2 linked regions of the Callithrix jacchus genome follow. The protein of the gene in region 2 interacts with the protein of the main gene of each other region in a biochemical or structural test. Links are inferred from orthologs where the notes say so. Each region holds a gene or a part of one and is shown on either strand. Other genes may lie near its edges. The genes, in order: PGF and FLT1.

The links.
Region 1: the proteins of FLT1 (region 2) and PGF are reported together in a solved structure, tested with the Homo sapiens proteins (2 studies listed by BioGRID and IntAct, with this or other methods). The link is inferred for Callithrix jacchus from reciprocal best matches to the Homo sapiens genes FLT1 and PGF.

The regions. Positions count from the first base shown.
Region 1 is NC_133509.1:109,861,707-109,865,506, forward strand, and holds part of PGF (placenta growth factor), read right to left. Parts: intron 3,277-3,800; coding exon 3,200-3,276; intron 1,140-3,199; coding exon 1,110-1,139; intron 1,006-1,109; coding exon 943-1,005; intron 1-942. UniProt on the Homo sapiens protein: Growth factor active in angiogenesis and endothelial cell growth, stimulating their proliferation and migration. It binds to the receptor FLT1/VEGFR-1. Isoform PlGF-2 binds NRP1/neuropilin-1 and NRP2/neuropilin-2 in a heparin-dependent manner.
Region 2 is NC_133506.1:147,658,592-147,663,160, reverse strand, and holds the start of FLT1 (vascular endothelial growth factor receptor 1), read left to right. Parts: upstream 1-1,588; 5' UTR 1,589-1,842; coding exon 1,843-1,906; intron 1,907-4,569. UniProt on the Homo sapiens protein: Tyrosine-protein kinase that acts as a cell-surface receptor for VEGFA, VEGFB and PGF, and plays an essential role in the development of embryonic vasculature, the regulation of angiogenesis, cell survival, cell migration, macrophage function, chemotaxis, and cancer cell invasion.

The sequences.
Region 1 (3,800 bases), on a different chromosome or scaffold from region 2:
TTTCAGGAGATTCCCAAGTGAAATGTCTGAAGACCACTGCTTTGGGAAATGGAGCTATAGGACACTTTCTGCCTCAGCTGCTGGCTGGTAATGCGGCCCTGAATGGACTTCACTGCCAGCTCCTGCCCCAAATTGCTACATGGGCATAAACCCTAGGGGGCCACATTCCGCAGGATTCTCCATGGAGTGGGGCTCATGGGGTCAGGACTTGCGTCATCTCCCCTCCACGGCACAAAATGACTTCCTGGAGTCGTGTGCGAGGAGGAGACGCAGCCCCTGAAGGAGGGCACTGTGTGACTGCTTTACTGTGCATGTGAAATACTTTCTTTTTTCTATTTACACTCACAGATTTGGGTTTTCCCTCCTCTAATCCTTCTCTCCCAGCCACACTCAGGCCTGGGGCTCTAGTCTGCTGCCCATCAGGTACCAAGGAGGTTAGAAGAAGCAGGAGGACCCGAAGGCAAAAATATTGGCCTGGGAGCCAGTGGCGAGGGGCACATGTTCCCCAGGGCTGCTAGGAAGTGACCCCAGATAACAGCGCAGCTGATGACAGACTTTTCATCACTAGAAGGTAAACACTAAAGTGCAGGAACTCTGTTTGCTCACAGAGGTACTTGGCGCACAGTAAGTGCTCGGTAAATGTTTGTAGAGTGACTGAATGTTTGCTAGACCTCCTGCCCTTCATCTGACACAGAGAAAAGCTAGGCTGAGAAAGGTGAAGTGGTTCATTCAAGGTCAATGGAAACCTAGGGCTAAGCCGGGACAAAAACCAAGGTCCTGATGCTTCCGGGGCCCTAGAGTCTTGAGAAGGCGTGGCTCCTGTTCTGCTCCCAAGACTGGCCTCAGTCCTGCCTCTCCCCCTCCCTGACCTAACCCTGGCAGCAGGGCGGGGCTCCCCTTGGGCCCAGCCTCCTTGCCATCCCTGGGACCCCGCGCACTCACAGGTGGCAGTCTTTGGGTCTCTGCTTCTCTCTCCTCCTCTTCCCCCTGCCCTTGGGTCTCCTCCTGCAATAAGCCAAAAGCGTCAGGACAAGGTGGCTGGGGGCCCCCATGCTAGGACGGAGGCTGGCAGGCCCGAGAGAGCCCCGAGCCCCAGCTAAGCCACTTACCTTTCTGGCTTCATCTTCTCCCGCAGAGGCCTAGGGAAACAGACAGACAGAGGGGCAGAGGATCGTTAGGAAAGCAGTAAGTGGGGCTCCCTGCCTCCCAGACCTGTCCCCTCCAACATCCTGAGTCCTGGTCCTGCAGCTGACACTGACACCACTAGGGGGTAGCATGGAGCTGGCAAGGGAGAGGTGGCGAGAGCCTCCGGGCTTGGCTCCCACTCCAGTCATGAGAGGGACAAATCAACCTCCTGGGGACCCCTGCCACTCGCTTCTGCACTCCTCAGCCTTTTGACATCAAATCTGGGGTCGTTTCTATCTGTTCTCTGCTGCTTTTCCTTTCTCACTTTTTCCGCTTTTCCCCCTTTCTTCCAGGGTGCATTCTGGGAATTTCCTCAAGGATTAGAGATGATGGCAAGGCAATGGACTGGCTGCCTGTCGGGGCACAGCGCCGTCCCCCCCACACCCACCCCAGCCCAGAACAACACGGGGAGTGAGCCACAGGGTCGGAGGTGGGGAGGGAGCATCAGCCCTGAAGTCACCAGGCATGTCCGGTCTCTGCCTCCCAGGGCTGTGGCTGTTGCCTGGCCACAATCTCCCCCTGGGGAACAGAGGGTGGAGGCACGAGGCAGCTTGGTACCAGTCAGCTTTGGGACCAGGGCATGCTGCCCTCGGCTGCTTCCTCCCTTGGGAGCCAGGGCAAGGTACCAGGGCCTCTGGGGACTGTGTGGTTATACCTCTCCATATTGGGCAAGTAAGGTTCCACACTCTTGGAACCTCAGTCTCTTCATCTGCCTGTCCCCAGAGAGTGGCTGTCAGAGCAAAGGGGATGTAGAAGGTAGCTTTGGGTCACTACCCAGCATTGTGCCCAAGAGGGTTCATTACCAAGCTACTGTTATATGGCTAAGCTCTGGCTTGGAAGGAGGGGGAGGAAACAGGCTGAGGCAGGGCCCCCAACACTGTCATGGTGAAGAAAGGCTAGACCCTGGGCTCAGCCCTGCCCAGGAGCCAAGCCAAGCCTGGGGGCTATTAGAGAGCGTGGTCTCGGCCATGAGAGGTAACCTGAAAAACGAAGGCTTAGGAGCTAGGTCAGGGCTCAGAATCCCTCCTCCCACACTCACTAGCTGTGGTCAGTCATGAAACTATTGAGCCTTGATTTTCTCATCTATAAAATGGGTAGATGACAATAGCATCTACCTCCTAGGGTTGTTAGGAGAGCAGGGACCTTGCTCACCCCTGCATCCCAAGCATCTAAGACAGTGCCTGGCATGCACTAGGTACTCAATAAAAGTATGTGACTAAATGAGAAACATTCAAGTGGCTCCTGTGGGCCTAGGCACAGAACAGTACGTGGTGGTCTTCCCTCCTCCCGCCCTGGCTAGGGTTCTGGACTTCTAGTCTGGTGCCTTCATCCATGGCCCAGTGGTGCCAGGAGCAGTGGCTCAGCCCATTCCTCTCTTCCCTGAACCTGGTTGGCAGTGCCAGGCCTGTTGTTCCTGCTAACCAATGTTCCAAGTGCCCTGGGCATAAGGCAGCAAAACTGGTGCTAGTCAGAAGCTCTGTGGACTGGGAGGGGGTGTAGTGGGAATGCTGCGACATCAAGGAAATCGCAGCCACCCTTCATCCGCCCATTTTCTACCCGAGCTTGTCCTTCTTGCTGCTTCTCAGCCCAGTTTGCCCCCTCCTGTGCGAGCACAGCTTAGCCCAGAACTAAGTCCAGACTTGCAATGTCTCTGCCTCCAGGCACTTCTTCCAGAGGCCCGTGGCAGCTGCCTGTCATCCCCAGGGAAGGGGAATGACATGCACTGAACCCCTGTGAGTCTGGGAGGGATCCACACTCTCTCTTCCCTTGCCGTATCTCAGCAGCTGTACCCCAGCTGCTGGGACCACCTCCCTTGGCAAAATTGGCTGGTGGGGGTGCAAAATGACTGGCAGCCACCTCTGGTCCTGCTCTCTTGGTCTCCCTCAGCCTGGAAAAAAGTGCAGCCTGCAGTAGGGATAGGCGGCCTTTGCCTCTGCCCTGGGACCCATCTTTGCTGAGGCTGCCAAGGGCATGGGAGCCTTTCCCTGCTACCCGCCCCAACCCCGAGACCTACCGGCACTCGCAGCCCACGTGCTGAGAGAACGCCAGCTCCACGTAAGACGGCCGGTCCCCAGAGCTGATCTTTAGGAGCTGAAGGAAGAAAGAGTTGACGCCTGGACTGGGGAGTTTCCGGCACTCTTCTCTCTCTCTTTATAAGGAGAACCTGACTGTTTCCTGCTAACCTGTGGACTACGGCCCTCACTCCACTCTGAGCATGGGGCAAACAGCTCTCCCACCTGCATGGGGATCTGAGGGAGGCCCCTCCCTATGCAGGAGAAACTAGCACAGCGATAGCACAGGAAGGGGGCCTGTGTTCTGGAGTCAGAGAGACCCATGTTTAGATCTTGACTCCTTTGCCCGCTGAACAAGTGAAATAACATCTCTGAACCTTGAGTTCCGCATCTGTGAAATGGGAATGATGCCCGCCTTGAAGGACTGAATGACATACCACTTGTGGTATGCCTAGGACAGTGCTTGGCATTACCCAGTAAGTGCTCAATAAAACCACTGTGTGTGTGACATGTTAATTGCGCTTGCTTGGAAAGGCACCAAACGCTCCTGGTGTAAACGGGAACTTTAATCTAGGCAGATTTGTTTCCAGCTTTAACTAGACA
Region 2 (4,569 bases):
TTGAAAGAGGGTGTAGGAGTGACAAGCAGCTCTCAGGTGAGACCAACAGACACTGTGGCTCTGCACGTATGTGCCAGGTTGTGTCCTGGGTTGGGAGACTGGTAGGGAGAATGATCAGCCGTCAGCTTCCAGCTGTTCTGCAGAATGATCCTGTGGGTTTTAGAGGACCCAGGTGTGCCAGAGGCAGAGAAAGGCGCCAAGGAGAGCGGTGCGGAGCACTGGAAAAATAGAGCTGGTGAAACCAGCAAGCAAGCAATGACTCCGGCAGTCTTCCTTGCCTCTGAACCAGAAGGGATCCAGGGACAGTTAGTGGCTCAGGTCCTGCGGCTCCAGGTGCCCAGACGTGCATTTCCTGTGTGGAGTGGCCGGGGCCTCTCCTTGGTGTGCAGCCCAGAAATGTGGCAACTTCGGGTTGCCCAACCTCCCCAGGCGGGGAGGTAGTCCAGTCCTTCAGGAAGAGTCGCCGGCTCTGTTCAGGAGCCATCACAGTCCCTGGTATTATGTCCCTCTGACGGGTTCTAATAGGACTATTTTTCAAGCCTGCGGTATTTACAGAGACAAGACTGGGCTGCTCCATGCAGCCCACGATTTCAGCCTTTGAGGTAATGGAAACATAATGGAGGAACAACGTGGAATTAATGTCATAGCAAATATCTAGTGCTTCAAGTTAATTTCAGCCGGTTGTGGTCAAAGAGTCACTCGTCTTGAGTAGCAAGCTGCCACCAGAAAGATTTCTTTTTCGAGCATTTAGGAAATAAAGTTCAAGTGCTCTGCCCTTCCAAGTTGCAGGAGCAGTTTCACGCCTCAGCTTTTTAAGGTATCATGATGTTATTCCTTGTTTTGCTTCTAGGAAGCAGAGGATTGAGGAAATGACTTGGGCGGATGCATCAATGCGGCCGAAAAAGACACGGACACGCTCCCCTGGGACCTGAACCAGTTCGCAGTCTTCCCAGAGGTGCCAGGCAAGCGTCAGGTCCCCTCAGGTGTTCCAGGTCCAGCGCCTTGCGCCGAGGGTCTCTGGCACCTTTCTAGACTTCTCGGGACAGTCTGATGGGGTCAGGGGCGGCAGGACAACGCGGGAAGAGCAGGCAAAGGGAGACAGCCGGACTGCGCCTCAGTCCTCGGTGCCAAGAACACCGTCGCGGAGGCGCGGCCAGCTTCCCTTGGATCGGACTTTCCTCCCCGAGGTCCGGGCGGCGGAGCTTCAGCCGTGTCCCTTCCCCAGTTTCTGGCGGCCCCCAGAGCTGAGTAAGCCGGGTGGAGGGAGTCTGCAAGGATTTCCTGAGCGCGATGGGCAGGAGGAGGGGCGAGGGGAAGAGGGCGCGGAGCAAGGACCCTGAACCTGCCGGGGCCGCGCTCCCGGGCCGGCGTCGCCAGCACCTCCCCACGCGCGCTCGGCCCCGGGCCACCCGCCCTCGTCGGCCCCCGCCCCTCTCCGTAGCCGCAGGCAAGAGAGCCTGGGAGAAAGAAGAGGGTAGGTGGGGAGGCGGATGAGGGGTGGGGGACCCCTTGACGTCACCAGAAGGAGGTGCCGGGGTAGGAAGTGGGCTGGGGAAATATAAATCGCCCCCGCCCTCCGCTACTCTTCATCGAGGTCCGCGGGAGGCTCGGAGCGCGCCAGGCGGACACTCCTCTCGGCTCCTCCCCGGCAGCGGCGGCGGCTAGAAGCGGGCTCCGGGGCTCGGGCACAGCAGCCAACGGGCGCCTGGCGGCGAGGATTACCCGGGGAAGTGGTTGTCTCCTGGCTGGAGCCGCGAGAGCGCGAGAAGACCGACTCGAGCGGCCGGGTAGTTGGCCGCGGGGAGCGCGGGCACCGGGCGAGCAGGCCGCGTCGCGCTCACCATGGTCAGCTGCTGGGACACCGGGGTCCTGCTGTGCGCGCTGCTCGGCTGTCTGCTTCTCACAGGTGAGGCGCGGCCGGGGACCGGGGCCGGAAGCGGGCTGCGATGGGGCGGCCAGAGGGCAGAGCCTCCGAGGCCGGGGCGGGGTGCACGCGGGGAGACCAGGCTGCAGCCCGAGAAGCCGACTACGGCAAGAACCTGGGACTCTAGTTGCAGCGGGCACGCCTGGGGCCTCTGCGCCGTTTCTCCGAGGGAGCGCCTCGGGGAGTGGCTGACCTGGACCCGCGAGCATCAGCGCTCAGACCGGGTCCTCGTGGGGCTGCCCGTTTGCGACAGAGTCGCTGATCCCTTATCTGGCTCTCGGGTGGGATCTCACTGCCGAGGGTCCGGGCAGTGGGAGCAGCACGCACCCGGACCTGCCTGGCACCCAGAGCCTGCTTCCAGGCGGCCTGGCGTGGATCCGCGGGGTCCCCCGGAGCCGGGAGCAGAGGCTCCTGAACGCCTGCCAGGCTGCCCGGGGCTGAGCTGAGGCCGGGGCGTTGGTGATACTGTGCACTGGCCGCGACCTCGCGCCACGAAAGGGAAGGAGGAGAGCTGATTTGAAGGGGACCGCCTGCCTGCGGGGAGCAGGAGGATCTCAGGAGAGGGCCAGCGCTGGCATCCCAGGACCCACTTGGGCCCCCGAGCCTGACTGTCCCGGGGAACGCTCGGCTAGCGCCGCTTCTCCCCGCCGCGCGCGGACCGCGGGGCCACACTGCGCTGTGCGCAGCCACCCGGGTGGGGCCTCTGCCTGGAGCAGCGGGGTGCACCGTCCAGCCTGGGTCGCCGACGTCAGTGACCCTGACGGACGAGGAGAGTCAAGGGTCCAAATACCGTTAAGTTACTGACTTGTAAGCCTAGCCTTTAAAATCCGAGCTAAGAGAGGGCGGGCGATTTGGACCAAACGACGCGGTTTGAGCAAATCGGTGGGGTCTGCCCGCCACCTAAGTCAGCCTTTGCCGGTTGTTTGGGAGATGGGCGGTGGAACCGTCAGGGGCCGGGGTTTTACCAGCAGTTAGACCGCCGCCATCGATGGGTCAAAGCCCCAAGGAATCTGAGGGTTCGGACTCGCAGTCTCTGCTCACTGGAGCTGAGTGGCAGAGCCTTGTGCCCCGTTCCCCTATGCGCAGAGACTCAGATTTCGGAATGCCTTTCTTTTAAGCACAGTGGAGAAAAGGTAAAATATGAAATAAAATACAGTCGTATAAAATAAATCATTACAATTATTCCCGGGGAAAAAAGTAAGATGAGCATACTAAAACAAAACAAAACAAAAAGCTTGTCAAACCCCAAAAGCAGCAATAATTAAATTCCTTCTCAGTGGGAAGACTAACTAGACCATCAGTTTCCAAGTAGCAAGTAATAATTCCAGTTAGATTGGTGAAACTACTAAACCCGGAGGCCGGGCAAAGTAGTGACTTCTGAGAACTAACTGTAGGTTGAGAAATTTGCTAACATAACTATCCTAAATAAAATGTATTTTCTATTTCACAAATACATTTTTTTGTTTTGAAAAGTAACTTGTATTAAAACATAATTGCTTGGAGAATGTAAATACTTCGCTCGACTATTATGTAAAGATAATTCTAGGTAAGTTACATGAATCCAAAAATATGGAGGGAAAAGTACATGGTTTATTAGATTTTCTGTTTCACACAGACATATCTTTATTTCATAAACGTGCTGACTTTAGTGAAACATTTTGTTTGTAATTGGGAGAATCTTAGATCGGTGGAAACTTGACAGAAACGTGAGTGAAATTCTCTTTTGATTTTTCTTAGCTTGTAATCTACTTAACGGGGGCAGCAGTTTTGGAATTGTGAATTTTTTTTTTTTTTAATTTGCACCTTTTTTGGGGAAGAAAGGACTAACATTGGCAAGGTGAGAACCTCTTTATCTGAAAGTTAACAGAGTGCTCTGTTAGCTCATGTTAGCTCAGTCTGCAGCATGGGTGCTTGTGAAAACCCATAGGTTTCTCTGTCTGGTTAACAAGCATCTCACAGTAAAACAATCAGCTACCACCTACTTTACAAATCCCATCAGGTCTTTCGTGCTGAAATGAGGGGCTGCGTCTCTGCCAAGCAATGTCTAGTAAGGAGCCACATTTCTGCGCTGCAGAGTTCTCTTGCATCATTATGAACTGGGGTCTGCTCTCCTTCAAGTGCTATGTAATCTTTGAATACTTATCAGCTATTAATATTGTGTGTGTGCATGCTCGGGGTGCACATGCATTGAGATGTAAAATAACCAGAGGCGCAGTAATACGAAAAGAGAGTGCTTTTCCCCTCTAAAGAGTTTATTTACCTCTTCCAGACCTTCCGGGAAATAAAAAGATAACAATAATTCAGATACTTTTAAGTCCTCTCTATTGCTCTTTTTCTATAAAGGATACCAGTCTTCTTTCTCCAGCTCTGAGTCTCATTTCTTACTTTTAAGGTATCATAAACTGGATGAAAGCTACAGACTTTTTTCTTTACCCTCATTTTTCTTTTGTTCTGGAACAGCTAGCATTTACCATTTACTATAACTAAGTGGAAATATTGAAATTGTGAATTTGTGAAGGAAGCCCACATTAATATGAAATCAAAGTGCACATGAAAATATACCTATTTCTAAATTGAATGTAATAAATCTCTTATAATAAAGTTATTTTTCGTAATAATTTTTGTTCCTTTCTCCAAGGTTTCAT